7 linked regions of the Oryzias latipes genome follow. The protein of the gene in region 7 interacts with the protein of the main gene of each other region in a pairwise test. Links are inferred from orthologs where the notes say so. Each region holds a gene or a part of one and is shown on either strand. Other genes may lie near its edges. The genes, in order: etf1, prkag1, lsm3, nfe2l1, heat shock protein HSP 90-alpha, putative transcription factor p65 homolog and keap1.

What was found.
Region 1: the proteins of keap1 (region 7) and etf1 interact in binary tests that used the Homo sapiens proteins (3 or more experiments, as listed by UniProt). The two-hybrid records come from large-scale screens. The link is inferred for Oryzias latipes from reciprocal best matches to the Homo sapiens genes KEAP1 and ETF1.
Region 2: the proteins of keap1 (region 7) and prkag1 interact in binary tests that used the Homo sapiens proteins (3 or more experiments, as listed by UniProt). The two-hybrid records come from large-scale screens. The link is inferred for Oryzias latipes from reciprocal best matches to the Homo sapiens genes KEAP1 and PRKAG1.
Region 3: the proteins of keap1 (region 7) and lsm3 interact in binary tests that used the Homo sapiens proteins (3 or more experiments, as listed by UniProt). The two-hybrid records come from large-scale screens. The link is inferred for Oryzias latipes from reciprocal best matches to the Homo sapiens genes KEAP1 and LSM3.
Region 4: the proteins of keap1 (region 7) and nfe2l1 interact in binary tests that used the Homo sapiens proteins (3 or more experiments, as listed by UniProt). The link is inferred for Oryzias latipes from reciprocal best matches to the Homo sapiens genes KEAP1 and NFE2L1.
Region 5: the proteins of keap1 (region 7) and heat shock protein HSP 90-alpha interact in a two-hybrid assay, tested with the Homo sapiens proteins (2 studies listed by BioGRID). The link is inferred for Oryzias latipes from reciprocal best matches to the Homo sapiens genes KEAP1 and HSP90AA1.
Region 6: the proteins of keap1 (region 7) and putative transcription factor p65 homolog interact in binary tests that used the Homo sapiens proteins (3 or more experiments, as listed by UniProt). The link is inferred for Oryzias latipes from reciprocal best matches to the Homo sapiens genes KEAP1 and RELA.

The regions. Positions count from the first base shown.
Region 1 is NC_019868.2:15,426,116-15,430,046, reverse strand, and holds the start of etf1 (eukaryotic peptide chain release factor subunit 1), read left to right. Parts: upstream 1-1,131; 5' UTR 1,132-1,267; intron 1,268-1,454; exon of another isoform or gene 1,455-1,517; intron 1,518-1,627; 5' UTR 1,628-1,652; coding exon 1,653-1,738; intron 1,739-2,801; coding exon 2,802-2,977; intron 2,978-3,136; coding exon 3,137-3,276; intron 3,277-3,371; coding exon 3,372-3,510; intron 3,511-3,597; coding exon 3,598-3,788; intron 3,789-3,931. UniProt on the Homo sapiens protein: Component of the eRF1-eRF3-GTP ternary complex, a ternary complex that mediates translation termination in response to the termination codons. The eRF1-eRF3-GTP complex binds to a stop codon in the ribosomal A-site.
Region 2 is NC_019863.2:4,033,369-4,037,336, forward strand, and holds the start of prkag1 (5'-AMP-activated protein kinase subunit gamma-1), read left to right. Parts: upstream 1-1,168; 5' UTR 1,169-1,577; coding exon 1,578-1,646; intron 1,647-1,840; coding exon 1,841-1,892; intron 1,893-1,976; coding exon 1,977-2,077; intron 2,078-2,143; coding exon 2,144-2,225; intron 2,226-2,302; coding exon 2,303-2,361; intron 2,362-2,475; coding exon 2,476-2,521; intron 2,522-2,599; coding exon 2,600-2,654; intron 2,655-3,805; coding exon 3,806-3,932; intron 3,933-3,968. UniProt on the Homo sapiens protein: AMP/ATP-binding subunit of AMP-activated protein kinase (AMPK), an energy sensor protein kinase that plays a key role in regulating cellular energy metabolism.
Region 3 is NC_019863.2:18,333,459-18,337,719, forward strand, and holds the start of lsm3 (U6 snRNA-associated Sm-like protein LSm3), read left to right. Parts: upstream 1-1,461; 5' UTR 1,462-1,544; coding exon 1,545-1,565; intron 1,566-4,261. UniProt on the Homo sapiens protein: Plays a role in pre-mRNA splicing as component of the U4/U6-U5 tri-snRNP complex that is involved in spliceosome assembly, and as component of the precatalytic spliceosome (spliceosome B complex).
Region 4 is NC_019877.2:19,058,808-19,062,960, forward strand, and holds the start of nfe2l1 (endoplasmic reticulum membrane sensor NFE2L1), read left to right. Parts: upstream 1-1,353; 5' UTR 1,354-1,554; intron 1,555-1,681; exon of another isoform or gene 1,682-2,426; intron 2,427-2,536; 5' UTR 2,537-2,806; coding exon 2,807-3,364; intron 3,365-4,121; coding exon 4,122-4,153. Other genes in the region: cdk5rap3 (CDK5 regulatory subunit-associated protein 3), read left to right, coding at 80-251, 446-511.
Region 5 is NC_019882.2:17,294,550-17,298,759, forward strand, and holds the start of heat shock protein HSP 90-alpha, read left to right. Parts: upstream 1-1,410; 5' UTR 1,411-1,570; intron 1,571-2,433; coding exon 2,434-2,583; intron 2,584-2,869; coding exon 2,870-3,236; intron 3,237-3,319; coding exon 3,320-3,453; intron 3,454-3,536; coding exon 3,537-3,860; intron 3,861-3,942; coding exon 3,943-4,108; intron 4,109-4,197; coding exon 4,198-4,210. Other genes in the region: heat shock protein HSP 90-alpha 1, read left to right, coding at 1-214, 302-635, 729-838. UniProt on the Homo sapiens protein: Molecular chaperone that promotes the maturation, structural maintenance and proper regulation of specific target proteins involved for instance in cell cycle control and signal transduction.
Region 6 is NC_019876.2:27,225,088-27,229,057, forward strand, and holds the end of putative transcription factor p65 homolog, read left to right. Parts: intron 1-40; coding exon 41-256; intron 257-334; coding exon 335-415; intron 416-500; coding exon 501-584; intron 585-2,072; coding exon 2,073-2,878; 3' UTR 2,879-3,470; downstream 3,471-3,970. Other genes in the region: UPF0696 protein C11orf68 homolog, read right to left, coding at 3,768-3,771; UPF0696 protein C11orf68 homolog, read right to left, coding at 3,768-3,970. UniProt on the Homo sapiens protein: NF-kappa-B is a pleiotropic transcription factor present in almost all cell types and is the endpoint of a series of signal transduction events that are initiated by a vast array of stimuli related to many biological processes such as inflammation, immunity, differentiation, cell growth, tumorigenesis and apoptosis.
Region 7 is NC_019859.2:10,401,000-10,404,971, forward strand, and holds the start of keap1 (kelch-like ECH-associated protein 1), read left to right. Parts: upstream 1-1,172; 5' UTR 1,173-1,291; exon of another isoform or gene 1,292-1,295; intron 1,296-1,368; exon of another isoform or gene 1,369-1,386; intron 1,387-3,095; exon of another isoform or gene 3,096-3,154; intron 3,155-3,363; 5' UTR 3,364-3,972. UniProt on the Homo sapiens protein: Substrate-specific adapter of a BCR (BTB-CUL3-RBX1) E3 ubiquitin ligase complex that regulates the response to oxidative stress by targeting NFE2L2/NRF2 for ubiquitination.

The sequences.
Region 1 (3,931 bases), on a different chromosome or scaffold from region 7:
AGAGATAAAAGTGAAGGAGGCAAATAAAAACGTGGCACGTTTTCTGATGTGTTAAAAGACAGGGAAAGGAAGGAAATTATTACTTATAACAAAACCTTGGCGAACAAGACAGTGCAAGCCCAGCAGGAAAGATTATTCGGACTGATGTTGAGCGACAGATAAAAGCTGTGATTAAATGTTGAATCTTTTCGAATAGATCAAAAGGTGATTGGAGAAGGGCTTTAAAGGGTTAACCCATCCATGCACGGGGAGATTTGTTTACAGCAGATAAGCAAATTTTCTCTGGCTAACTTGAAGTATCTTTCCTAAGGACTATTCACATACTTAAATATCGAGTTTCTCGGAAAATTTTTAAGCATGATGTGCACAAAGTTTAACTTTGTAGTGCTGTTGGAATGGTTTGGCCCAACTGGTGTGCTATAGGCTTTAATGTCCCTCTCTAATCATCTTTTAATCTGCTGTAAAAGTGTTCCCAGTGTTTTTTTTTTTCTTCCCATCACCTATTTTTTTGTGCATCTCAAGCTTACATGATCTATCCAGCCATACAGTTTGAGCCACATGCCAGCTCAGATGCATAAAACTAAGATGTACATGGATCTAGTTGTGTGCAAAAGGATGCATCAGAATAAAGAGGAGCAGGGAACTTGTGGTCTGCCAGTTGTAGTTTCTAGGTCATTGCTACAAGCTTTTTTCAACAGCATTTTTTTCTGCCCTTCATTCGTAATTTGAAGAAATACTCAGAAATGTATTTTTGTATATATGTCCTCCATCATGAGAAAAATGCCACAAGGACATGTTAAAAATAACAAAAACATAATTTTCATCAGAGTGGGAACTTTTTAATAGTGCAATGTTCGAAAGCAAACCAAACAATGGTGAAAATAATTATTATTCTCCATCCTTTCACACCAAACCCCTGTAACTGCCCTAGCTGTTGTTGCTAGCATTTTTCCAAAACTTCAAATCCCATGATGCACAGTTACAAACGACCACCCAGCTCAAGTGACGGCCTTGGATTTCATCCAATCGGTTTGATCTAATTTTGAGTGACAGATCATCCGAGGCATATGATTGGTTTCTATGCAGTTTCTAGGAAGTGAACGCCACGATTCTAATCACCTCCCACATGTGATCTCCAGACTGTAGCACCACGCGCAGCGTGTGAGGGAGAGAAACCGGTCGGGAAAGCAACGTCATTCCTCTTGACTATCGACTCGACATAAAGCAGCCGATAGAGAACGGAGTGGAGCGGTGTTGTCCGTGGCAGGTAAAGTAACGGTTCCGATTTTCCCGACAAAAATCGCGTCAGGAAATCTATGTTGGATTTTAATGTAATGTTAAGAAAGTAGGTCGTATTAGATAAGAACGGGGTGTGCGCTGGGGCCTAGTAGACAGCAGGCCTGGTGCTATCCACGTTCTGTGCAAATAGGCAGACTACAGCTCTTCCCTTACAGCTTGTCCAGCTGCCCAGCTCTGGTCAGGTGTAGCAGCGGACACGGCGCCAGGGGTTTGAAGAGGTACAGACTCCAGATAGTTCAAAAAGAAGCGCCATATTAACCGCGGCTGTGTCCATCGACACATTTCCTCCTTCGTCTAATTCCCTTTACTTCTTTTTACATCTTTTCAGGTGCTGAAGCGATTACAGCAGAAAGATGGCGGACGACCCCAGCGCGGCGGACAGGAACGTGGAGATATGGAAAATCAAGAAACTGATCAAAAGTTTAGAAGCTGCCCGCGGGTAATTTGCCGATCTGTGTTACTTGCTAATGCGACACTTAGTTGAAAAACAAGCTGAGTTTATAAATCCATTTGGTGGATTAACAGAGCCATCACTCAACAGCTGGAGATCTGATAAGTGGGGCCGAATTTGGGAGTGGTTAGCATGGCTAACTTAGCTTATCGTAGCTATTGGTGCTATTTTTGTTAGCCGAATGTGGCGCGCCAAGTGTCATTATTTAGCATGGTTTGTTGTTATAAATGTTGTGTTGAGGTACAGTTTTGTCGTGTTCTGTGTGTGTCATGTTTCTGTGAGTGACACCGCAGAGATTTTCCCCTCCCTGGCTCCACCGAGGCTCAAAGTTAGGGGCATTGTTGCTAGCTTTGTTGCTAATGTACCCGCTAACACGACTCAGACGTCATTTCACGACAGAGGCCGCCATGGGTGTCTTTAACAAAAAACGCGAGGCCGGTCAGCTAGTTTCAGTCGGGCGTTCGGTTACTGTGTATACCGCCTTTTCCTAATGTAAATGGGGTTTTTTTTCTCCCCCATGACGCTCACATGATAGAGCTGATATGACACTTTTTGGTTCACTGTTGCCGGTCACCTCATGGCAACCGAACAGCTTAGTTAGTAATGTCTAAGATGGACGTGATCAAAACCGACCGCTCCAGAGTGCTACTTTAGTTTACACCCGTGTCCTTTGGGGATCTGGATTTATCAAATGTACTGCTTGGTGCTACTTGATCGTTGCTTGATCCTGCTGGGCAGAATTGGCTGTCCTGTTCTCAGATGCCTGCCATGTCACACATTGTAGCTAGTATTTGCCCTACAGACACAGACCTCGCTACCTGCCCCTGTGTTAGTAGGTGGTGTCAGAGTTTCCTGTTGTGTTGTCCTTTTAACTTAGTCCTTGATTTCAAGGACAGTGATTATGTAGAGTGTAACAGAGAGACAGTAGTGGCTTTAAAAAAAAAAAAAAAAGCTTGGAAAGATGTACTATTTAGCCGAGTACCTTACAGAAAAAACCCATCTGGAATAGTTTATTACAGATATACAACATTTAAACTCTTCCTCTTCACAGTAATGGCACCAGTATGATCTCACTGATCATCCCACCTAAGGACCAGATTTCCAGAGTGGCCAAGATGTTAGCTGATGAGTTTGGCACAGCGTCCAACATCAAGAGTCGAGTTAACCGGCTTTCTGTGCTTGGGGCCATCACTTCTGTACAGCAAAGACTAAAACTCTACAACAAAGGTAGGTTTACACGTGTTGAATCACGCACTGCAAATATGATCACATTTAATGAAGTTGACACCTTTTTTTTTTTTTTTTTTTTAAATCAATTTCATTCTGTGCAAAAGAAATTGAGTTCCTCTGTCTTATCCAGCGGTTTCTTTTTCTCTCTGTTGCCAGTGCCACCCAACGGTTTAGTTGTGTACTGTGGCACAATTGTGACAGAAGAAGGCAAGGAGAAAAAAGTCAATATAGACTTTGAACCTTTTAAGCCAATCAACACCTCTCTTTACCTCTGTGACAACAAGTTCCACACCGAGGTGAGGGTTTCCTTTGTATCTTTACTTAGCTGTTGGTTGTTGTTGTGTTTTTGTTTGTAGCTTAAATTCATTTTTTATCCGTTTCTGCTCAACAGGCGTTGACGGCCCTTCTTTCGGATGACAGCAAGTTTGGCTTTATTGTGATTGATGGTAGTGGAGCATTGTTTGGCACACTGCAAGGCAACACCCGGGAGGTGCTGCACAAGTTCACTGTGGACCTACCCAAAAAGCACGGTAAAGAAAACTCTGTTCTGGCGAAAACCGCTCTTTAAGTGTCGATGCGAGTCAATAACAGGATTGTGCTTCTCTCCTTTCTTTCAGGCAGAGGAGGACAGTCCGCGCTGCGTTTTGCTCGTCTACGAATGGAGAAAAGACATAACTACGTGAGGAAAGTGGCTGAGACCGCTGTCCAGCTCTTTGTGTCCAATGACAAAGTAAACGTGGCAGGAATGGTCCTTGCTGGATCTGCTGACTTCAAAACCGAACTTAGCCAGTCGGACATGTTTGACCCAGTAAGTTTATCAATATTCAAGAACAATACACTACTTGCAAAGTATTTATGTATGAAAAGGACAACAAATAAGCGAGAATGTATAAAAAATGAAAAAATTATTTAGTTTGTACTTCTTTCCAAGGAAATGTTTTGAAACGTGTA
Region 2 (3,968 bases), on a different chromosome or scaffold from region 7:
TCCTCCTCTGTTTTGTGTTTTCTTTTAATCACTGTTGGGGTTGTGGTTTGTTTGTGTGTATTGCGGCCCTGAACAGGTACTCCTGATGAGGGTTTGGATTGGAGATCTCCCTTGGGGTTGTTGGTGGCTATCCACTGGTGCAGTGAGGCTGAGGAGTCCCTGGAGGCAGCCGCCCTCATGCAGTGTTGGAGCGCGGTCCAACTGTACGAGTATATTGTAACCTTCAATTTTATGGAACTTGTGTCAAGTTTTTAATCACATTGTATACTAACCACTACCAAATCCAGTCTCCATTTGGGGTGTAAATGTAAGGGCATTCGGTCACAAGTAACAAAAAAAAGAAAACAACCACTGCATGTTTTATTTTAAGATTGAGGACATAATTTATTCCAGAAATGTAAATGTGTTCTATAACCGGTCCTTGGGTCTTGGCGGGCCGCACAGAATAAATAACTGTCATCCGTTTGCTTTATTTCGGAATCTGAAAGATGTTTTATTTTGAAAAACTGCTCGATTCTGTTACACCGTCTATGTCACTTGGACGCAGGCCAAGGCGCTCTTCTCGGTCACGTGATGGGTTACCGCTAGAATAAAACCCAGGAGCTAACAAAAGGAGTAAAACAAACTCCTTTGGAAAGTTTATTTGCCAAGGGGAAAGGGGCCAGCCAGGAGGCAGAAGAGGAGCCTTCCACTTCCAAAAAAAAAGCTACATTTGATACAGTACTTCTCTTTTGCACCACGAGAGTGGGAAGGGGAGAGGATGAGACCTGTGCGGTGTACGACATGTCTGTCAAAATAAAAGCTTGGTGTTCGTAATGTTAATGTCTCCGTTCCTCCATAACTTGCCTACAAAAGTGGCCCGCCACATCTTAAAGACCGTGTAAGTTTTGAATGACGCCATACCGGTCCGCGGCGTTAAAAAGGTTGGGCTAGATTTGTTTGTGTACACTTCAGACACCGATTACAGCGACTTCGTTACTGCGCATGTCCAGCTCCTCTGGTCAGAGCGGAAATAGATTGGCGCGGCGTCCTGTCACCCCGGTCAAAAGGAGGCGAACGGGCAATGGAATATGGATTGTGTAAGTGATTGGCTCTGTTTATTTGGGCACATTTAAAAGCCTACTCACAATATGCTCCTAACTCATCATACAATCATTAAAGCCGACGTTGGAAACAGTGCTAGCGTTAGCTGCTAGCTACGAACTTATTTTTCACGTTTGTTTTCGATCTGTCGGTTGTGTGTTTAGAAATCTCCCTATCTGAGGATTCGGCCTCGGAAACGGTTTATTTACGGGTATTCAAACATGGATAAACGGGTTAAATTGTAGTAAGCATAATAAAGACATTCTTTAAAGTCTTTGAACCAATAATTAACTCGAGAGGGAAGGTAAATGACTGACACAGACAGACCGTTAGCTAACAAGCTAACACGTTAGTGTAGAGAAAACCAGTAACAAAGGCTCTTAAAGTACTTTCTGCATGTTTATAACCTGTAACCTCGTCTTAAAGTATATCTATTCATGAACATCTTCTCAGGAACTAGTTTGTTGTTTTGCGTGGCTTCTCCTGGTGGTTAAATGAACAACGTCGGACCAGTTTCGTCAACGGAAATTGTTTTTATTTTACAAACGGGTAAATTAACAAATGTAAGTATATATTTATTAAAAGAAACTTTGACATGGTGCAAAATACGCAGGTGTGTTTCAAATAATCATTAACATGTTCACTCCGGTTCTTTGGTTAATCCAGTTATTTGGTCAGCCATCCTAACCTATGATTTTGGTACAGTTGGTATATTTTAAACTGCTCTTTTTATTATTTTATGTAATTGTTTCCCCAGATTCCAGTAACTATTGATGATCTTGAGGGCAAGAAAGACCCCGTCATTGAAGGTAACAGACTTTTCTGTAGATCTTATGACTCTGACGTAGACTGACTGAGGTGTGTTTTCATTTTTGTTTTGATCAATTCTTCAGACTCCGAACACAATGCGTACACGAGGTTTATGAAGTCTCATCGCTGTTATGATCTTGTACCTACCAGCTCCAAGCTAGTTGTGTTTGACACATCACTTCAGGTAAGAGAAACCTTTTAATCCATCAGATGAACACTTGAACGTTGGTAACTGTCAATAATTGTGCAGGTGAAGAAGGCTTTCTTTGCTCTCGTGTCCAATGGGGTGAGAGCAGCACCTCTGTGGGACAGTAAGAAACAGTGCTTTGTCGGTAAGATTTGTTTTGTTTGTTGGATTTCAGTTCAGTGAATAAACATCTTTATAGCTCATGTTTTTTTTCCCCTACAGGAATGCTTACCATCACAGACTTTATCAACATTCTGCATCGCTACTACAAGTCACCATTGGTAAGATGGTTTAGTCCGCCAGTGGACGAAGCCTTCAAATGTCCAACTTCAGCTGCAAGACTTCTATGTTAGTTACAGTAGCTACTTTCTTTAATACTCTATTTACACTTTCAGGTTCAGATTTATGAACTAGAAGAACACAAGATTGAAACATGGAGAGGTAGGAATGGTTGGAACAAGTTTTGCTGCATAGTTATTCTTACGTTCACTGCAGTAAGATCTTTTATGTTTCCAATAGAACTGTACCTTCAAGACTCCTTCAAACCTCTGGTTAGCATTTCTCCCAATGCCAGGTGAGCAGCAGTAGCACTTTAAACCTTTGTGTTTTTTTTTTTTTTTTACTTTAAAGTCTTGATGAGTGGGCAAACAATGTCTTTTGTTTTTTTGCCTATATTATACTATCATCTTTTGATCTATTCTCAAAGCGTTCCCAGTGGTCTTTTAATTGTGACTATGCCATTTTTAGCCAAAGTCAACAAATCTTCTCTAGGACATAGTTTCTGTAGAGCGGCAGTAGTTCATTAGAAATTTGCCTATGATTTGTGGGTGGGACTGTTGGTGTGGAGCAACCCCGCCCCCCTTCCCCTCCTGGTCGCTGAGAGCTTGGAGCAGGGTGCTTGTGGCCGCCCGCCCAGGGTATTTTCAACGTCACACATACGATCTTTTCTATGCGTCGCTTTTTTTGTGTCTGCTCCTAATTCACAGCAAGTTGAATAAAGCAATACTCAGAATAGCAATTTTGAGCTTAAATTTGTCTTTATATGTGTCTTCAATCATGAGAAATGCCACAAGAACATGTTAAAAACATCAAAAACCCAATTTTCATTGGAGTGGGTCTTTAAGGTGGATCTACAGCTGAGGCGTTCTCATAGAAAATTGCTCATTTCTAAGCCTTTTCAGGGCCGGCATTGGGAATAGCACTGGTAATTGAATAGGTCATCTCCGGAACACTGATGGAATAGTTTGACATTATCTTACCCCAAAAGAGAAACTAGGAAATGGCTTGACATGTTTGTTCAGGGATTCCACTGTAATCTGCAAATGCCTGAAAGCAATAGGTTCTTGACTGGGCTCTGTACTGAACTATGTCAGAGTTTTTGAAAAGGTAATCTGGTAAATGGTAAATAGTGTATAATTGTATAGCGCCTTTCTTCCTACAAGGACAAAGCGCTTTACAGTCACAGACCCATTCATCCAGTCACACACACATTCACTCACACATTCACACACTGGTGGTGGATCTGTACCTTATTAACCCCCAAAAATGGAGCAATAATGACATGAAGCTATATTGGTGGCTGCTATTCCAAATTTCAGCTTACGGTGGGCTTGTTTTTCACACTTCAAAAGCTTTAGCTTTATACTTCTTTATGTTAGCATCTGTCATTTAAAAAAGTGCTGACCAAAAAGTCTACATAGAATCTCACAGGATTTTTTTCCATAGCTTGTATGATGCAGTGTCATCTCTACTGAGGAACAAGATTCACAGACTGCCAGTCATCGACCCCCTGACAGGGAACACCCTGTATATACTCACACACAAGAGGATTCTCAAGTTCTTGAAGCTGTTTGTGAGTTCCTCTGAGGTCGTCTTTACCCGAGTTTCA
Region 3 (4,261 bases), on a different chromosome or scaffold from region 7:
CTTCTCACCAATTACCCATTTGCCCTGAGCTGCTGAGCAAGCAGAAAAACAGTGTTAGTCCACCTGAAATTCTCACTGATTCTCAGTGAAGAGCAGTATAAACAGGAAACAGTGTGAACTGAGCGTGGAGCCTGTTTGCGGTGCTGTCTGAGCTTGTTGCAGGATCTCTTCCATCACAAAGCCATGATGTAGCTGAGGGTGGAATGGGCAGTACCACTGCTCTGATCTGCCTCCCCTCCCACTGACAAATCCAGTATGAAGAACTGGATCGTCCTGAGAAGAGAGGAGGCGCACACCTGTAACCCTACAAACACAACGCGGAGAATAGCAGCCTCACAGGACCAGAGGCTGTGTATGACATCACAAACAGAACGTCTGCAACCCATTTAGTTACATTAACCAGTCTAAACTAGTGATGTTCAATAAATATAGTTTTTTCCCCAAAATAAAATAATGACGCAATAAATCACAACCGCTGCATCATTTTATCTTTACTTAAATAGCATTTTGCTTTTTATTTTCCAACACTTGGTTGGTATCCTGTATACAAGAAATTGTTATTTTTAATAAAAAAAATAATAATTGAAAAGCAATTTATTTCGTTTTTCTGCTTTTTAAGTCCACCTATTATAATTTTAGACTGTTATTAAAACGATTTCTTATCTTTAAATGCAAGACTTTGAAAAGAGTAATCAATGAACATAAAATAGCCTTTTTTGGTCTGTTAGTTTCAATTAATAAATCGATTAATTATTTAGTGTAATCATTAAAAATAAATATTTGAATAAACTGCAGATTACATTTTAGGAATATATTCTCTCTTAAAAGAATTTTAACGGTTTTCTCACTAACGGAAAGCTTCATTATGTGTAACTATTTACATTTCATTTCTCGTTTACATTAACATTTCGCATACGGAATATTTCTAAACAGACCCGTTAGACACTGAATTCCCAATAACAGCTTTACTACCACTCAAAACGCTCTGGAATATTAGTGTAGACAGGACAAATACCTCAAAATGAACAGATATTTATGAATTAATTTACCTTCTCGCTGCTCTGCGCGGATGACACGACAGTGTCCTGTGAGGACAGAAAGCTCTGGAAAACGCTAAAGGACGGTACTGGATAACGTTGCCAGGTTTGAACATACACGCAACGCGTCGAGAGAAAGGTGAATTTCTTTTCTTTATAGTTTAGTCTTTTCAGTTGTTTCAATTTAAAAGTGGCAGGGATGCAACAAGGAGATGTTTGTGTTGTATTTAAATTTTAGGTAAGGACTATGTATGGATTTACACATACTTTAAATTTAGTCTTTTAAGGATGGATGTTGATACCATAAGTTTTAATAATAAACATTTCACATTCTCAAAGTACGCATAGATATATATTGTAAACTAATTATTTGTATAAAATTCAACTTTGTTGAACTGGAAATCGAGGGATAATTCGAAACGCACGTGTGTGTTGCCGTTTGAAATCTTAATTTCACCGGACCTGGCAACCTGCGTACCGGAATCGACGCGCGCATGCTCGAACAGTATGGCGGACGAAGCTGAGCAGGTTAGCGGTTCTTTCGCTAATTATATGTTTAACCTTACAACGAACGAACAGAAGCCCACTTTGCTTCTAAAAGTGCAGACTGCGCTGCACGCTGCATTATTTTTAAAGTGCTTTAAGGTTATTACAGGAACGTTTTTGACCTGTTTGGGGCCGTGGAAGCGGCTAACCGAGTTAGCCGAATTATTAGCCTTGGTGTTCCTGTGTTTCAATTGAACGCAAATGTTTGGTTTGAAACACAGTTCATTGCTTTAGTGCTAACCAGGCAGCTAAATAGTTTATACAGGAAGGAAAGTTTGTGTAAAATGTGTGGGGAAAACAACAGCTGTAGCTCCAGCCGTCGAGGGCATGCATTCTGCTGTGTTCATTAAACGGCCTTCTTCTGATTCTGGTTACCTCAGGTGTGTTTTGCTAATCAACAGCAGGCAGACTAGGACACCTGCCCTCGAGGACTGAAACTTTACATTTGAGGTTTCTACTCTCTGAAACGCTTGGCGTTTCTGGCTGCCGGCCGCTCTGGGAGGGGGGGGGGCGCCTACCGCGGCCGGCTGGGGGGCCGGTCGCTCGGGGGAGCCTTCTCCCCCGGTTGTGCCCATCCGCCCGCTCCTCCCCGCTCTCACCCAAACAAATATTGCACACAGGCACATAGGGCCCCGGGATCTGGATGGGAGGGGTATGCTGGCGGGGCTCACTGGGGATGCCCCTCTCTGGGTTCTCGTTGGCACCCGCCCTCCTCCCCGCTTTTTACTTGCATATTAGACACTCTGATTCATCTAGGGCCTTGTGGAGAGGGTCTGGTGGAGGGGGGCACGGTGAAACATCCGTGCTCACCTTTCGCTGGCCCCCCCACAATTTTAACTTCCTCTGTAGACACACACACTGCATGCTAGCAGCACACACACAGCAAATACACACCACTCACAGAGGGACTCCGGAGTGGGGGGCTTTGCGGCTTGGCAGCGGTGGAGCCCCCCACACTGGTGACCTCCTATTTTACCTGCAGCACACACACAGCACTCCCACACCTCCATACATGGGTGGGGTCGGGGGGGGGGGGCGGCCGGTCTTCACCCGCCTGGTCCTCTCAGGGCGGCCAGGCTTATGGGTGTCCTGTCGGCTGCGGGAGGGGTCGGGCATGCGGCGCTGGGGGTTGGCCGGCTGGGGGGGGGGGGGGGGGGGGGGGGTTACTGCTTGGCGGCGGGGGTAGGGAGGGTAACCAGATGATTGTGAGTATGTGTGTGTGAGTGCATGGGTAGGACCGACCTGGGGGCTGGCTCGCTGGGACCCTCTGGGGCTTTCCCTCCCAATCACAGAGAGGGGAGGGCACTGAGAGGGTTGGGGAGGGGGGGTCAGATATTATGGCGGGGGGGGGGTTGTAGTGCGTCGGGTTTTAGGGGGGTGGCTGTGGCTGCGGGTGCGTGGCGATCCCTGGGTTGCTAGGGTCGCGTGCCTGGGCTGGCTTGCGGGGACGGGGCGCTGGTCGGGTGGTGGCCGGCTCATGGGTTCCGGGGCCCTGGCTTCGTCCCTGGCCTTTGTCTCGGTGTCCGGCGCCCGGTGGCCCCCATGGCTGCCGCCTGGTACGGCTAAGCGCTCCTGTCTTGTGGCCTGGGGGCCGGACACTGGGTTCGCTTGTGCCTCTGGGCATTGGGGGGGCCCCTGTAGGGGGGCCCTCTCTGTGCCTGGCTGGTGGGGTGGGCGGTCCCCTCCTCCTCCCCTCCCGGGCTGCCTGGGTCCGGATGCTGGGGGGGCTTCTGGCCTGGGGGGCTCTCCTCCCCTCTCCTGGTCTGGCTGGTCTGGCTGGGTAGGATCTGGCTCCCTTTATGAACACACGGTTCACGTCGGCAGCATGCATGTATCTCCACCCCCACGTGCACGTGCACACTGCCACACTGCTCCCTGTCTGCTTCATCCCTCCTCCTTACCTACAGTGTATTGATGGACAGTTTTTTTTCCGCTCATCTTAGTGTCAGATTTTGACCTTTGATGTAACATTCGTCTTTCCAGCAGATCTGGTATAATTGTTACAGCTTAAATTAATAACTTAGTCAAATCAGTGCTTGTATCCCCCACCTTTTCACCTTTCTTCCTTTTACTCTCTTCCACCCTCCCCTCACATTCTTCCCCTCTCCCTCCCCACACACACTAAATGTAACAAATAAATAAAAAATAATACGACAAAAAGGGGTTTATACAAATCTACACTCTAGTTTCTTGAAGCTATATAACCTCTTTTTGTGATAGTAAAACCTGTCCAACACAAAAAGCCTTCAGCTCTAATCTGTTTGCTCAGAAGTTGGACAGAACAAGTTAGAAAAAAAAAAAAAAAAAAAAAAGATTAGTAAGCAAACTGACTTTCATTCTAATCACAAGGTTTAGAATTTTTAGTCACCAAAATGTTTTTTTTTTGTCTTTTATTTTTATTTTTAATGCTATACTCTTAATTTAACAGTTCAAACACATTCACACAGGTTACCCAAACGCCAATACATGTAATCTGCCTTCACTTGTTTTGCTGAAACCCATGAGATTAGTAATGCTTTTATATTAAACATATATAAATGTCACAAAACAGTCGTTTTTGGTGTCTTAAATGTAGGTTGGATGTTTCAACATTTTATTTTGATTGCTGAATTAAAAACTGTGAATCACAAGTTGATTTCTGTGTTGTCAAATTGTGTTGAGATGGGAAAAAAAGTAGT
Region 4 (4,153 bases), on a different chromosome or scaffold from region 7:
TGTTTTTGATGAACTTTGTCGCTTTCATTTTGAACACTTGACCAATAAATTATCATTTTATCTTTTTGTTTCTGTTTAGGTATGTTGAACGTGTGTCAGATATGCTGAGACAGAAGCTGAAGCAGGCAGACATTCTGGTGCTTAAAGCTTCCACAATGGTTGAGAAGAGGCAGGAAGCCTTAGAGGAGCAGTCCAGACTTGAACCCCGTGTCGACCTGCTGGCACTACGCACCCGGGAACTCCAGAAACTGGTATTGTGTTACTTTTTGGAGTTGGTACTTTCCAGATGAGAGGGTTGCATTAAAGCATCAACACTGAGACTCTTAATCTCTATCCACTTTCTCTTTTTATTTTTTAAGTGTGATGCACTTTTAGCATCCCAAAGACTCATCAATTATAATAAGTATTTTTTGTCAATTATTGTGTCTGTTTTTTGTCTTTGCAGATTGAAGCTGACATTTCAAAGAGATACCACAACAGACCTGTCAACCTGATGGGGGTTAATGTATAATTAATATTGCAAATGTTTCAAAAATATTTCTCATAATTGAAAGGACAAATAAAAAATGTTTTGTAATTATCCTTCTTGTTGATTTGTGAGTGAATGATTAATGTAAAACAGTTTCTTACCTTAGCAAAAAAGTAGTACATTTAAAGATTGTTTTATTAAGTATACCTGAGTGAAAGTATAAGCAAGTCTACTATTGACCATTACATCTAGTGTAGGAAGGATACTAACAATGCTTCTTCGGACTAAATTTGACATTCAAATTTACCATATATAGATAGTATATAAAAAATAAACTTTGAGCATACTGCCTGACTTAGTATAAATTAAGTATACTTGTAGTACTCTTTAATAGACTGCTTTTTGCTACGCACTGACAAATTACTTACATTGTCTAACAGAAATACAACTTGTTTCACATTTAAGCATTATTTTTAGCAGGCATTTGTGAAAGTATATGATGGTGTTATTTTAAAGCTGTTATTTAAGGCATTGCCTACTTTATTTTTATTTGACATACTGTATTTTAACCATAGAAAGTAAAATAAGATATACATATATACATACATACATATATGTAAGTTTGAAGAAAAAAACATTTCAGCCTCTTTTTATATTCCTTATATATTTTTTTCGCTGGAAGGAAGGACACATTTCAAATATTATTAAAATGTGTATTTTTGCTATCAGTGCTTTCATGATTGCTATAAAGTGGAAATTCAGTCGGACATTATAAAACGGCGACTTTGCTTGTCCTGACAGCTGTTATTATTACCAGTGGGGGGATTTTCCGTCGGCTGATAAAACCTTACACTAGAAAGTTCTACGCATGCTCTGTGGGCGCGCGTGTTTTGGTGTCAAGCAGCGCTGCTAAGTTAGCCTGGCCAGCTAGCAATTTTGCAAGTCATGGTAGGCCATTCAGTAAGGGAAGGTTGGAGTGGTATAACGGGCTCAGTGGGGAACCTTTGATAAAGCTGGACTTATTTACCAGTCTTAATTGAGATTGAACCTTCTGGTATGAAAACCCAGTTAAATATTCTCGATGGGTAAGTTGTACTCTATTAAGATTTTTTAGCACTATTTAGTAGCTCCGATAAATTGCTGGTATATGGGGAATGCTAACGTGGAAACACATGATTAAAACATCATTCTATGGTTGTTTATTTTTTGCGTTTTAAAATTACTATTTTAAAGTATTTTTCGATACACTGAGTTGACAGCAATTTAGCCTGCAAAAGCTAGCACAGTTTACTGTTGGACTTCCAATGAAGCATTTTCTTTAAGGAACGCCCACTCTCCGTTCCTATTGGCCAGGTGGGACTGGAGTCATATTTCGTAGTTAATAACTCGGCCCGTGATTGGCTGTCCACTTTGTCACTCATCTTTTCACCACTTGTTGCTAAGGAGATTGTGTGATTGCCGCTTTAACGGAAGTAAAATAGTAAATATTAGCAGATGCACCTGTCACTTTGGGGGGTTAAACTTAGAAGTGGGCTAACTATATCACCCGGCGACACATCTTATCGAAGATGCGTTATACCTTGGTTATAGATGTATACTAGCTATAGCTGGTCCGAAAAGATAAGGTTGCTAACACAGCCATCGTCATAAGGACAAAGGTAGGCGCAGCTGTGCGGGAGGAGGGAGGAACCCAGCCCGTCACCCAACGTCGGTTCGTGCGTGAGCTAGTCCGGTGAGCGTTCTTGACTCCCATTCACCTTCAGCGGGATCCGATAGAAGTAGTTGCTCGGTCAAGGGTGGGGTTATGCCTAAACTCCCGGCTCCATCACTGTCTGCTTGAATATCCGAGAATAGAAAAGGTCAGGCGATGCGAACTAACATCACTTTTCCAGTCTTGGGAGGATAAAGTGGTTGCATTTGGCTAGCAAGTCCTGTACAATGTTCTCAACACATATGGGTACGTACGACGAGTGTTTTAAGTCCGAAAGCAATGTAATGGCTAGTATGTGCAAGCTGGTGTGATATGCAGTAGTAGTGCATTAAAATACGATTTTCCACTTTTTACAGGACTAAAAGATGAAAGTCTTTTGAAGAACAATCCAAAGAGGCATGATTCTAAGAAGTGGAAACCTCAACTTGGATTTTAACACCTTTTAGGCACAAATAACCTTTTGGTTGTTTTTTTTTTTAAACACCTCGCCCCCCACTTCTTTCCACTTCTATGTTCATGTATCTGTTTTCCTCTCCTAGTATTAGCACAGAGTCATTAAGCAAGCAGAATTGGTCCTTTTTTTGTTGTTATTTTTTTACTTTTATTTTTTGTTCCTTTGAAAAGAAATGCTTTACCTGAAAAAGTACTTCACAGAGGGCCTGATTCAGTTCACCATCCTTTTGAGTCTCATTGGGGTGAGGGTGGACGTTGACACTTATTTAAGCAATCAGTTGCCCCCACTAAGGGAGATCATCCTGGGGCCTAGCTCAGCTTACACGCAGACACAGTTTCACAACCTGCGCAACACGCTGGATGGCTATGGGATCCATCCAAAGAGTGTGGACCTCGACCATTTTTTCACAACTCGACGGCTGCTAAACCAGGTGCGCCAGCTGGACCGCCTCTCTGTCCCCAGCACAGAACTCAACACCTGGCTAGTGCATCGAGAGACCGAGACAGTGGTGTCCACCAGCAGCCAGTCCAGCCCCAGCATAACCCTGGACAATGGGGCCAGCCTAGAGGACATTAACAACATCGACTCGACCCCGGCCATGAGAGGAGGAGCTGCAGCCCCTGAATCCTCATACAACTTGAATGCAGCGGACAGCAGCCTGGGAGCCGTGGCCCCAGAGGGTAATCAGGAGCAGAGCAGCGCGGATGGCAATGATGACCTTACCAAAGAGGTAGCACCGTGGATGCAAAAACATGTTCATGGGTATATCTATTGCTGGAGAAAAAAACATGCTAAGAAATTTTTGAAATTTCTACACAGCAACATAAAGTAATTTCAAACCTGATCCCTCAACAAGCCAGGCAGACATAGTTATAGATAACAATTTAAAATGCTTATCTACACAATGCTTTGATATGTGGTATTCAAAGATTTTACCTATTCAAAAGATGTTAAAACTGGATTATTTACAAATATTTTTGGTCGTCAATCCAGTGTTTTAACCAACCCAGTTGAGTTGGTTAAATTCGTTTTTATTGGTCAACTTTTAACTGAAAAATAAGCACTATACTCCCTAAATTTTAACAACAAATTTGCATTAAAGAAAAAAAGGAGATAAGTTTCTATATACAGATCAACTTTTAGATGTGATATTTGTGTTAATGAGGGGAACCTGTCTGATGGACTTACAATGGCTAAATTGATGCAGCAGAATCTTTCCCTATCACATGATTATCACTGCCAAAGTTGCATCATCTGATTTGTGTTACATGGTCTGACTCCTCCTAGTGCAATGAAAGAAAAGTTGTGATAAACAGCCTAAAGCTCTAATTTAAAGTTTTCATGCTGTCATAAAAAGGAAAATGTTTTCAGGCATCAATTTTATGGTTTTACGGTTTACTCCGTTATATTATCTGTGCAGAATCTATGAGTTGAACTAACAGTTTGTGTAAAAGGCCATATAATAATGGCAACCTCATGTTTTCCAGGACATTGACTTAATTGACATCTTATGGCGGCA
Region 5 (4,210 bases), on a different chromosome or scaffold from region 7:
CGGTCTTGAGGTCATCTACATGATCGAGCCCATCGACGAGTACTGTGTCCAGCAGCTGAAGGAGTATGATGGAAAGAATCTGGTTTCAGTCACCAAGGAAGGTCTGGAGCTGCCTGAGGATGATGAGGAGAAGAAGAAGCAGGAGGAACTCAAAACTAAGTTTGAGAACCTTTGCAAGATCATGAAAGATATACTGGACAAAAAGATTGAAAAGGTATGCTCTTGGAAAATGGGTTTACCTCATAAATTTTGATCAATCACCAGAATTTCATCATTAAAAACTTTGTTTCTCCTTCCACAGGTCACAGTTTCCAACCGCCTGGTCTCCTCCCCATGCTGCATCGTCACCAGCACCTATGGCTGGACGGCTAACATGGAGAGGATCATGAAATCCCAGGCCCTAAGGGACAACTCCACCATGGGATACATGACAGCCAAGAAGCATCTGGAGATCAACCCACTCCATCCAATCGTCGAGACACTACGGGAGAAGGCTGAAGTGGACAAGAATGATAAAGCAGTGAAGGATCTGGTTATCCTGCTGTTTGAGACCGCCCTGCTGTCTTCAGGATTCACCCTGGAGGACCCTCAAACACATGCTAACCGCATCTACAGGATGATCAAACTGGGTCTTGGTATGTTTTACTTCCTATATACCTGCAAACACAATTACAATTCCCACAGTTCAGATTGGTTGGTTGCTAAAGAATGCTGTCTGGTTTTTGTAGGAATTGATGATGACGACTCTGCAGTTGAAGACATCATTCAGCCGACTGATGAAGATATGCCAGTATTGGAGGGAGATGATGACACATCAAGAATGGAAGAAGTTGACTAAATGTTTTTTTCAGGCCTTTCAAAGGTTTTTTATTTTATTTTTGTAACATGTGTTGTATTGCCTGGACAAAACAAATACAGACATTAATTGACTTTTGCCAAAATGGAAACACTGTATATAGAAACATTTAAAAACTCAATTCGCTATATAAAAAGTTTCTCAGCTTTCACTTGTGTTTCTTTTGTAACTTTTACATTTTGTATGTAAAACTTTAAAATTTTTAATAAAATATAATGGTTAGAGCCTTTTGTCTTTTTTAACCTAATGCATGCTAAACTTTAAAATATTCAAAGCCAAAAATGTCAAATACCAATTCTGCAAATGTGAAGCACATTTTAATTAAGAAAGTTCGTAACTTGAAAAGGTTTTTCTTTCTAGTTCTGGAATTTTCAATGCACACAGCGTGGTTCTTTCTAGATCCCACTCCTACACGTGTTCCTCGCTTGGTATAGTCTCTCCACATTCTCCACCTACCAACACCAAATATGGTGAAATGGGCGGGGACCGGGCGTTGACAGACGTGTAGCTCAGCCTATCAGCGAGCACCACCAAGCCGCAGCCGGGAGGATTCCAGACGCTTCTGGAAGCCCCCGTCAGGGTTTTTTCTCGAAGCCTCTGAAAGAGTACAAATAGCGGAGAGACGAACGGCGGGACAGATTTTGAAGCAGTGGAGCGACGAAAGCGAGAAACAGCGATCAATAGCGGAGCATTCCACTCCCACGGAGGACCAAGGTAAATGATGCACTCACAATGAGCTGCAGGACTCGTCGTGATTAGAGACTAAAATAAGGTTCTTAAATCTGTTAACTTTGCACACTTCGTTGATTATTAGGGTGAATTACTTTTTAAGCATTTAGCCACAAACTATTTACTCAAATGTTTAATTTTTCTCTAAGGGTTAATAAAGGAACCACTTTTTTTGTCCAGTCGAGTGGTAATGATGAGATGCTGCTGCCCTGCATGTGTCAGCAGTATAACATTATGCGCTTACGGGTTATTTAATTGTTGTTGTTATAGTTTTAAGCCGTTGTTTTAGCCGGGCGAGCTGGTCCCGGTATTTTATTTTATTTTTTTGTGCGGACATCTCATTCATACGAACTCTGAAAACGGTTGATGAGAGCAGCGACTTTCTGCTCCTCGTGAAGCTGCGCGTGCTCTGCTCTCCTCCTGGTACCTTCTAGAAACTCGCCTTACGCTGGGTAACCAGCAGAGGGCGACACTGCTGCGCAAATGGAAGAGATGGAGAAAAAGGCCATTGGAGACTTGTTCAAAAGATTTTTCAAATTTAATTAAATATTTAAAATGTAAACAATTTTTTTTATATTTTTGAGATTTTTAGTTTCGGACTTGGTGAACTGAAAACCAATTTTAAAGGAGGATTATAAAAGGGGATTGTATATCTGAATTTTAAGGATTAGAATTATTATTTTTTTTTTCAAAATAATAGACTCTACTTTACCAGATTACTCATTTTTTGTGTCCCTCATTCTATTAAACCCACTATCTTGACTATAAAGCTGTTTGTGTTTGGAACAATAACTAAAGGTTAATTTTTAGTTAACTTAAGCTAAAGGATATATTTTCTTGTTACTCAGATGCCTGAGATGCATGACCAACCAATGGAGGAGGAGACTGAGACCTTCGCATTCCAGGCTGAGATCGCTCAGCTTATGTCCTTGATCATCAACACCTTCTATTCCAACAAGGAGATCTTCCTCAGAGAGCTTATCTCTAACTCCTCAGATGTAAGTTTACACAAGCCTAAGATTTTTTTCTATATTTCATCTGCACTGAATCTAATGCTAATTTATTAAATTCACTGATTATTCTTGGACAGTTTCTTCTTAGGCAGTGCTCATTGGGCTTTGTCTCTTTTTGATTGAATTTTTTTTTTTTTTTTTATCTGCTTTTTATTTTTATGAATTTAAATTCCATTTAAATCCCATAGAATTGCATTTTGGCTGCAGTTGTACTAAATGAAAAGTGAGCAGGTCGTCTAAAAGGAAGTTCATGGATCCGTTGTTCCGACAGGCTTTGGACAAAATCCGTTACGAGAGCCTGACTGACCCCGCCAAGCTCGACTCGGGAAAGGAACTCAAAATCGAAATCACGCCAAACAAACAGGAGCGGACGCTGACCTTGATGGACACGGGAATCGGAATGACCAAAGCGGACCTGATCAACAACCTGGGAACCATCGCCAAATCTGGAACTAAAGCATTTATGGAGGCTTTACAAGCCGGAGCCGACATCTCCATGATCGGGCAGTTCGGCGTGGGCTTCTACTCTGCATATTTGGTGGCTGAGAAGGTGACGGTCATCACCAAACACAACGACGACGAGCAGTACGCTTGGGAATCCTCTGCTGGAGGCTCCTTCACAGTGAAACTGGACAATTGTAAGTAATGTGAGGCTTTTGAATGTCAGCTTCTGGTGTTTGTGGTTCTCGTGTGCTGACTGACTCTTGGTTTCAATGTCTAGCTGAGCCTTTGGGCCGAGGAACCAAAGTGATCCTCCACCTGAAAGAAGATCAGTCAGAATACCTGGAGGAGAGGAGGATCAAGGAGATTGTGAAGAAACACTCTCAGTTTATCGGCTACCCCATCACACTCTTTGTACGTATCAGAACCCTGTATTTTACTTCGAGGGGATGTATTCTGATCCGAGTGAGCTGAAACTGTTCCTTCTGTGGTTGCAGGTGGAGAAGGAGCGGGACAAGGAGGTGAGTGACGACGAGGCTGAGGAAGAGGAGAAGGAGAAAGACAAGGAGAAGAACGAGGAAGAGAAGGATGAGGACAAACCTGAGATTGAGGATGTGGGGTCAGATGAAGAGGATGACCATGACAAGTCCTCAGACAAAAAGAAAAAAAAGAAGAAGATCAAGGAGAAGTACATCGACCAGGAGGAGCTGAACAAAACGAAACCACTGTGGACCCGCAACCCAGACGACATCACCAACGAGGAGTACGGGGAGTTCTACAAGAGTCTCACCAACGACTGGGAGGATCACCTGGCTGTCAAGGTTGGTGATTCAGATGGAAGTTGAGGGGAAATCTGGTCTCAAGGGAAACATTTTCTGAACCCCCCCTTTCCTTCCTCTGTAGCATTTTTCAGTGGAAGGGCAGCTGGAGTTCCGTGCCCTCCTCTTCGTGCCCCGCCGTGCCCCCTTTGACCTGTTTGAGAACAAAAAGAAGAAGAACAACATCAAGCTTTACGTGCGTAGAGTCTTCATCATGGACAACTGTGATGAGCTCATCCCTGAGTATCTCAGTAAGTGTCCGGACCTGCTGGATTCTATTCTAATCTGAGGTGAGCGGGGAGCAAAATGACTAAACTGAATTCTACTTTTCATTTGTCAGATTTCATCAGGGG
Region 6 (3,970 bases), on a different chromosome or scaffold from region 7:
CAATTCTTTGGTGTTCTCCCATGTTCCCGTCTCCCTGCAGAGGACATCGAGGTGCGTTTCTTCCAGGACTCCTGGGAGGGGAAGGGCACCTTCTCCCAGGCGGACGTGCACAGGCAGGTGGCGATCGTCTTCCGCACGCCGCCCTACCGTGACACCAACCTTGTTGAGCCAGTTAAGGTGAAGATGCAGCTTCGGCGGCCGTCTGACCGTGAAGTGAGCGAGCCTGTGGACTTCCAGTACCTACCAGCTGACCCAGGTAAGATGCACACATCTCTACCTTCCTAGGACATGTCATGCATTCATCCTCATGTGAAATCTTTCACTCTTCCTAAAGATGAATACCGGCTGAATGAGAAGAGAAAGCGGACAGCAGATGTATTCCAGAACTTGAAGCTGGGGTCGATGCTGTCCAGTGGTACGCTCACTAGATACTGTTAGCTGTTCTTTGAAGGTTTTTGTTAAAGTGTTTATGACCAAAAAAACGGCATCTGTTGTTTCAGTTTCCATCCCATCAGACCGGCGGCAAATGAACTTTGCAAGGAGAACAGTCCCACCTAAACTTTCCTCTGTGAATGTGTCAACCGGTGAGTTTTGATCCTAAATATTTTGCATCTGATGTTGTTCCTTTAAGGTTTGAATGTTGTTATTTACGGAAAATCCACTGAAAACAAAATAACACGGGTCTGCAACCCTTTATTGGGACAATTTGGCTTTCAAGAAAATGCTAATCGCTTGAAGAAATTATAGGTTATTTAATGAAGTTTAGTCATGTAACCGAGCCTGTGATGGTTAAAGGTTTCATCTACTGTCAGAGTAGCTTATTATAAGAATGAGTGTAGAGCTCCTACTCTGATCTTCAGATGCAGTCATTCAGAACCAAAGAATTGCATCTATATGCATAGATTTTTACAGAAAATCCGGATTCTACGCCAATGTTGTCATGTTTATATTTAATAAACAGCTAAAGGACAAAAAAAGAGGAGATGTTTGACTTGTCGACTGTATCTGAGAAATGGACTGAGTGATGTCATTGATAGAAAATGGTTTATTTCAGCCTCCAACCAAATGAAGTCAGTTCAGTCGCCTTTTATTTAATATTTTTTTTGGATTGGTCCGAGTCGAGCTGAGCCAACGTTTCTATTGCAACTATTCTCACCAATCAGGAGTGAAATTGTTCGAAGGCCACACCCCTACGACTTATAAGCAGACTCAGTAGAATCTGTCAATCAAATGTTTCGAAATTTCAACAGGGCACCACCTACTTTAATTGAGGCATCTGATTGGTCCTTTTATAATTTGAATAACTACAGAAAAAAAATCATTTGAAAAAGATTAATACGTTTATAAAAATGTATCATATCAAGAATTATTGACCAATAGAATGACTGAGTAACAACTGCTTATTTTGGCTTCTTGGAACTAGCAGGTACTTCCTGTTTGGAACGCTGGGGGGGGGTCACTCAGTCCAGTTCTCATATACAGTCAATGGTTTTACTTGGGTTTCTTGTATTTTTTTTCAAGTAAATCTTCCGTAGCAGGAGGCTCTCATTTGACACAGGATGTTTTATTTTGAAAGGAACTTACGTACGTAATGCTGTCAAAAGTAAAATATCTTAAATTTGTTTCTACATAGAAAAACATAACACAGTTATAATTCAATTATAGTAAATATTTACGAGCTAGATTTTATGAATGAATGCCTCGATGGCCACAAAAACATGAATCACATTTTCTAAACATGTAGTGGAACTTTGCGGCTCTGGCTGAGTCTTGGTCTTAAAACACAAAAACTTGGACAATAACTGTTCCTTAACTTTAGTTACTGCAAATATTACTGAAGCTTCACTCTGATCATGTTTTTATCTATTTTCAAAGTGTTAACAGTAATCTTTTAATGACGTTTTTGGCCTAAATCTAAACATCTGCGGTCGTCTCCAGGACATAGTTTCTGCAGCGCGGCAGGAGTTTGTTAGAAATGATCCTCTGAGTTGTGGGCGGGGCTGTTGCCGCCTGCCTGTATGTAAGGATAGAGTGGAATTGCAGCTGTTGAACTGAAACTGTTTGTTTTTCAGGGACCGAGACGCCCCCTGGTGCCAGTGCAGCCAAACCACAGGCCCCTTTCCTCTTCACTCAGCCGATCCAGGCCCCTGCGCCGCACAAGAGGGAGCTCCCCGACGCAACTTCAAGCCAACCCTGGAGATTTATGGAGACTCTGAAGAAAGATTTACAGACCCCCTTCGCAGGGAGTTCTTCATCAGCCGCTCCCTCCTCCTCCACCACCATCAGCGCCTCCACGGCGAGCAACCAATACCCCACAGTCAACATAGCAGACCTTCAGGAGTTCTTCCCCAACATTTTGTCCCCCATGAATCAGGAGGCAGAAGCCACTCAAGCTAGTAGTGCGCCCCCTCAGGCCAGCAGCTCCTTCCCCCTCCAGGCCTCGCAGTTCTCCACAAACCCCGCAGAAGACGACCTCCCAGAGTTCCCCAGCTTCTCTGAGGGCCAGGTCCCCATCACCCTGGATAGCCTGAACATGGACGACTTTGAGGACCTTTTGAACGTGGGCGGGGGTGGCGCCGTTCCCATTGGAAGTTCGGGCCAGCAGCCCCACGCCACCGCACCTCCCCAGAATCCCACAGCGGGCCAGAACCCCTCGGACCCTGCTGGCAACCCAGGAAGCACCTGGATGAACTACCCCAACAGCATCGTCAACCTGCTGCAGAGCGAGGGCATGATGGACGCCGCCCCCCTCAACAACCACCACAGCGGCTACGCAGAACCCGACGACTACCAGCTGCTGTCCGCCGACGACGACCGCCTCATGTCCATTTACGAAAATGAAAATCACGCCGAGTTTGTGGCGGGACGCCAGACCTAAAGGACCCTTTCACCAAAGACTTCTGCTTTCTGCCTTCAGGACTGAAAAGATGCCAAGGGGAAACAGAAAGACCGCTCACTGTGGACAAAGAAACCCCCCAACCACAGATTCAGATCATGTCCTTATCATTACAGAACCATTATGTGGAAGACGACCCGCGCGTGTTCATCAGCTGATGATGGCGTCGCTTCGCTGACACGTGTTTGGCAGGTTTTTGTACTGTATCTGAACAAGTTTATCTGCTGTTTTTAGAGGAAGTTTGGGGTTTTGAATCCAAAAATGAACAGCCTGGTATGTTGGCATGTTAGCATTATACCCTTTTTTTTTTATCAAGTGTCCCTTTGGTTTGAAGTGTCATCCGAAGGTTTTGTCTGCGTGTGTAAAGAACCACATGAAGGTCTACATGTAAATATTTACAGGTTGAACATGTGCTTGCAGACCAGTCCGTGTTCCTGCTTCTGTTATCCTGGTGTTTCTACGGTTACTGTCCAAAGAACCGACTTTTCTGTTTTGCTTTTGGTCAGCAGCCCCCCCCTCCACACACAGACATTATGCCTAACCTTTTTTCACAATAAAATCGACAGAATGTAAAGGAATTCTTCAAAAGTGTTTTATTTGGCTGATCGTGGTTCAAACAGAACGAATTCTCTCAAACTATCAAAAACGTCTCAAAGTTCAGATTTCTGTCACCCTTCCAGCTCCGTAGGTTGTTCCAACCACAAGAAATGAGTGCAAATCAAATACTGCTGGAATTACAGATTGGTTTCTTTCCAAAAAAGCAAAATAAAGGAAGATCAAAACATCTGCAAATGCCGCTCCGTGGCCCGGTAAACAGGAGCAGAACTCTTAGGCGTCAGTCCCACCAAACGCGCTGCCCGTCCGGACTGGACTATGTCAGTTCCAGGTTGGTGACTTTGTTGAGGATGTGGGAACGCCGGGGGACGCACTCCAGGTCAAACCTGCTCTCATAAATGGTGGGGCTAAGTTCCCAGCGGTTCCTTCGGTAGATTCCCAGGTAGGTGTAAACGTCGGGTTTGTAGAACAGCGGGCACTTGATCCCCGTGGAGCGAATGACGGAGTCCAGCTTCATGA
Region 7 (3,972 bases):
TATTTTATGGGAATTCAAGAAAACTTCAGGGCTGTAACTACAATACTTCTTTCTGTCAATCATCACAAACGTTTCCATTTTTCTTGAGATATCTGCGGCTGAAATACAGTCGAAGTGGATGAATGTGACAGTTTTCTATTTTGTGCTGAACTTAATGTAGCGACAAATTTTTCATTACTGAAAAATATGTTTTTTTATAACACTTGTAATGTGAATTGTATTTTGTTACCTTCCTTTTCATTCAAATAATAAAATATTTTCTTAGGCGAACCATCACTCTTTTTGCATTTTGTTGTGTGTGATTTATGTGGTCTGAAAACACATCTGGAGGAGACATTGACTCACATGCATCCCGCTCTTATTGTCTCAGCAAAGCACAGTTTATCAGTGGGTTAACAAAAGACTTGGTTTCATTGCTCTGGTTTTGTTTGTCGTTTGATTCTTTAACAATATCGAAATTTTCCCAGATGCTGATTGCAGGTTTTTGCAATACTCCTGCAGACAGCAGTCAGGCTTTCTTTCCCACACTTGAACACGTGTGCAGAAATAATCTATAAGACGGTTGTTTTTATCTCTGCTGACAAATGAGCTTACTGACATGACTCAACAGAGGCTTGACCTTTGCAGCTGTAACTGTTGGCTTTTACTGCCACCTTGTGATTTCTTTTAAAAACAAGGCTGCTATGTAGGCTACTACCCTATTGACCCGGATTTCACAGTTTGCAGGAGTGAAAAAACTTGGTGTGTCAGCACAAGCCAAAATGTGTTTTGGTCCCATCTGAAGCAAGGCAGATTTTTTTTCTGATAAAAAATAATTGTTAGATAAGATGATTGCGAGAGAGCTGCATCATGTTTTCTTTTAATGTAGATTGGTTCAGAGATTTCTGAGTATGAGTGACATATGTATGTTCTTATTATAAGATTGAATTGTTCTTGTGTAGATGCAATGCTTATTTAAGAGGATAAACATATGAGTAAAGTATAACTGTAATGGTTGTAACAGTTTTGTTAAGCAATAAGTCACAATTTTAACTCAAAGTTAACCTTTTGGCCTGGTTTTCTTTTTTTGTTTTTTTTTAATTCTGAGACTCCTTTCCCAATAAAAGCCTACCACCCCCTGACGCAAACACGACTCATTGCTCGTCAATGGAGGCGGTCCCGACGTTCAGGAAGCATGCTTTTATTGTGAAGGCCAGTTGACTAGTACAATGCTTAGTCACGGTGAGTTACAGCCTCCCCTCCTCCTTCCTATGTGGCGCACAGCTCGGCAGAAAACGTTGGAAATAAGAGAGTACGTGAGTTGCCTTTACTTTACAGTTAAATTTTAAAATGTCCATCAGTACGGTTTTGTCAGTTCGGTTGAACGGAAAGTAGGTTTTTTGGGCGGTAAGACTGAGTACTTACTCTTTGTTAGCATGTTTGTAGCTATCAGTTCTCAGACGTTACTCCACTGTCTATTTTAGGGGCTTATTTTGCTGCTGCCGATAGCGTTACCTCCACCTCGGTGTTTTCTTCCAATCAATGAGACCGCGGAATTTTTTATCTTTTTAGACCTCAGTTTGGTCCACCTTCATCTGTGTTTTTGCTGTTGCATGCCAGCTCTGTGGCAGTTTCAGCCGAAAACAAGCTTGTAGTAAGTGTAGATGATGACCTTAGTCAGTGTGGAGTGAAAGCTAAACTTCGCGTTGTGTGAAAGTTCTTCTAGGAAAGGTGCACGGGATGGAAATCTAATTCCATCCCCGGGCTTACATAAGAACCAGCTCCACTTCTGGGTCGCGTTTTGGTACATTCAGTTCCACTCTTTCTGGCTTGGCGAATAGCTCGCAATGAGTCACCAACGAGGGAAGCTCTCCTCCTCCACCACGAATGCCAACAAAACACGTTGGACGCTCTTTGCTTGTCTTCGGCCTCGCCCCCTCCGCGTTGGCTGTTTCGCACAAAGTTTGGCGACGAATCTAGAAGTGAAAGTCTCTCCAAGTTGTTGTGGTCTCCACAGATTTTCTGCAGCTTTTTTTTAAAGTGACAGCTATTGATTGCAGGCCCGTTTTTTGGAGTTGCACCTTTTGTATGAAAGGTGCTTTATAAATAAAGTTGATTCAAATGGGGGTTCCCAAATTGAGGTGCAGGGGTTTATTGAACTTTTTTGTTACTAAAAATGACAATGCAACACAAACTCTCATTTTTTTGCAATATAAATATCTTGAGAAAAAAGTAAAATGACATAATAATGTTTATGTTATTGAAAATGTTACACTTTTTGAGCTCCTTGCTCATTTGGAAAAAGATTTGAACCAAAACAAAATGCTCTGAACACCAGCTAAATAAATAAGTTTACCCTCTCAGTTCAATACCAAAGAGATGAAATGCCACATTCACCAGACTGATACGCTAGCTGCTTGTTTGTGAGCGATAGCATGTTGAGCAATATGTTCTGGAATGTTCTGTTTTCCTTGTTAGTCACCAGGAGGAAGAAAAGTGCAGTTTCAAATCAGTGTCATAAAGTGTGTTTCGTGTTACTGTAAGTGTCACTGGCTGACTCCACAGCAGCCTTTAAACACATGACTTTTGATAACAAAATAGTCTTTTTCCTACTCTACGAACTGTAAAACACTTGTCTTTTTATCTCGTCCCTCAATACAACCTATGGTGTGTTGGTTATATAAGTAATCGTGTTAGGATTGTTGCTGACGGACTGACTCTTCCTATTCAGAGTTCACCAGTCAAATTGGCCACAGTCTGCTCTTTGTCTTTCATATCCCTGTTGCTTCATGTTCTGTAAAGGAGAAGTTGTGATGACAGTAAACTGGCCTGCATTCACTTTGTTGCACCCTCCACCCCTCTGTCATTTTAACATTATGCAATAGTCGAGTTGTTGTCCTCCCGTGGACCCGTGCCCATTCTGTCCTTGCTGACGTACTTTTGTCCAAACCAGCCTGGAGAGCAATCTCTGCCATGTTTCAGTCATGTTCTTGCCCCACCAAGCCTGAAAAATTCTCATGTTCATGTCTATCTTCATGACATGTAATAATTAAACAAAACAATGGGTTTGATTAACTGAAAATAATTAGTGTTTTCTATGTTCTTCTTACTATCAGCTGGATTGGTCACAGGATAAGAGTAAATACTTGTCAGCTGGATTTATGCCCAATTGAAGGTACTTTAGCAGTGTGTTTTTAAAGTCAAATATGTTGTTTTATTTTATATCTTTAATGTTAGTGTTTTTAGACTTTTGTTGTACACGTCTGTATAAAAAGTATATCTTTACAGTGGCATGTTAAAAGGTTCTTAACTGGGATCATGTGGTGACCACAGAATTTATCTGAGGCTTCCTAACACAAACCTTTTCTCTCCTTCTCCCCTCAGCTGTCGGCTAAATTCCCTGCCTGCTTGAAAGCAGCGGCACAACAAACGATATCCAGCTCTGGAAAATCTTAAGGAAGTTTTTTTTTTTCAAGTATAGACTTCAGTTCTTCCTTCTCCGTTTCAAAGAGCTCTCAGACCCACCAGTGACGCCTTTGGATCTCTTCTTGATTATCAAACAACAAGCAGTCAAACTGTTGGATTCCTACACATTTATCTCAACATTTGTTTTACTTTTAACGGTCATAGTTTAGCTTTGATCCATCTGATGAGTTGGTTCCTTTAGGGAATTTAACTGACCAACATAGATTTAATAAGAGACTTTCAGAGCATGATTTAATTGGCTACTGCCATATATTTCTTTTTATTCCTCCAACAAACAGGCATGTTTAACAGGCTTCTGTCAGTATCATGCAGGTGTGGAAAGACAGAGAGTTTTGTGACAAATGCAGTTGATCTAAAAGAAATCCCTTTGATTCCCGACTCTGTAGTTTAAACTTAATTACAGCAACATCAATCTTTAACTCCCATTCAGCATGCTGGAGGGCCAGTGTATAACGGCGTGCCCAGCTGGAACTGGCATCTCTCAAGCTATTTTCAATGTCATAACTC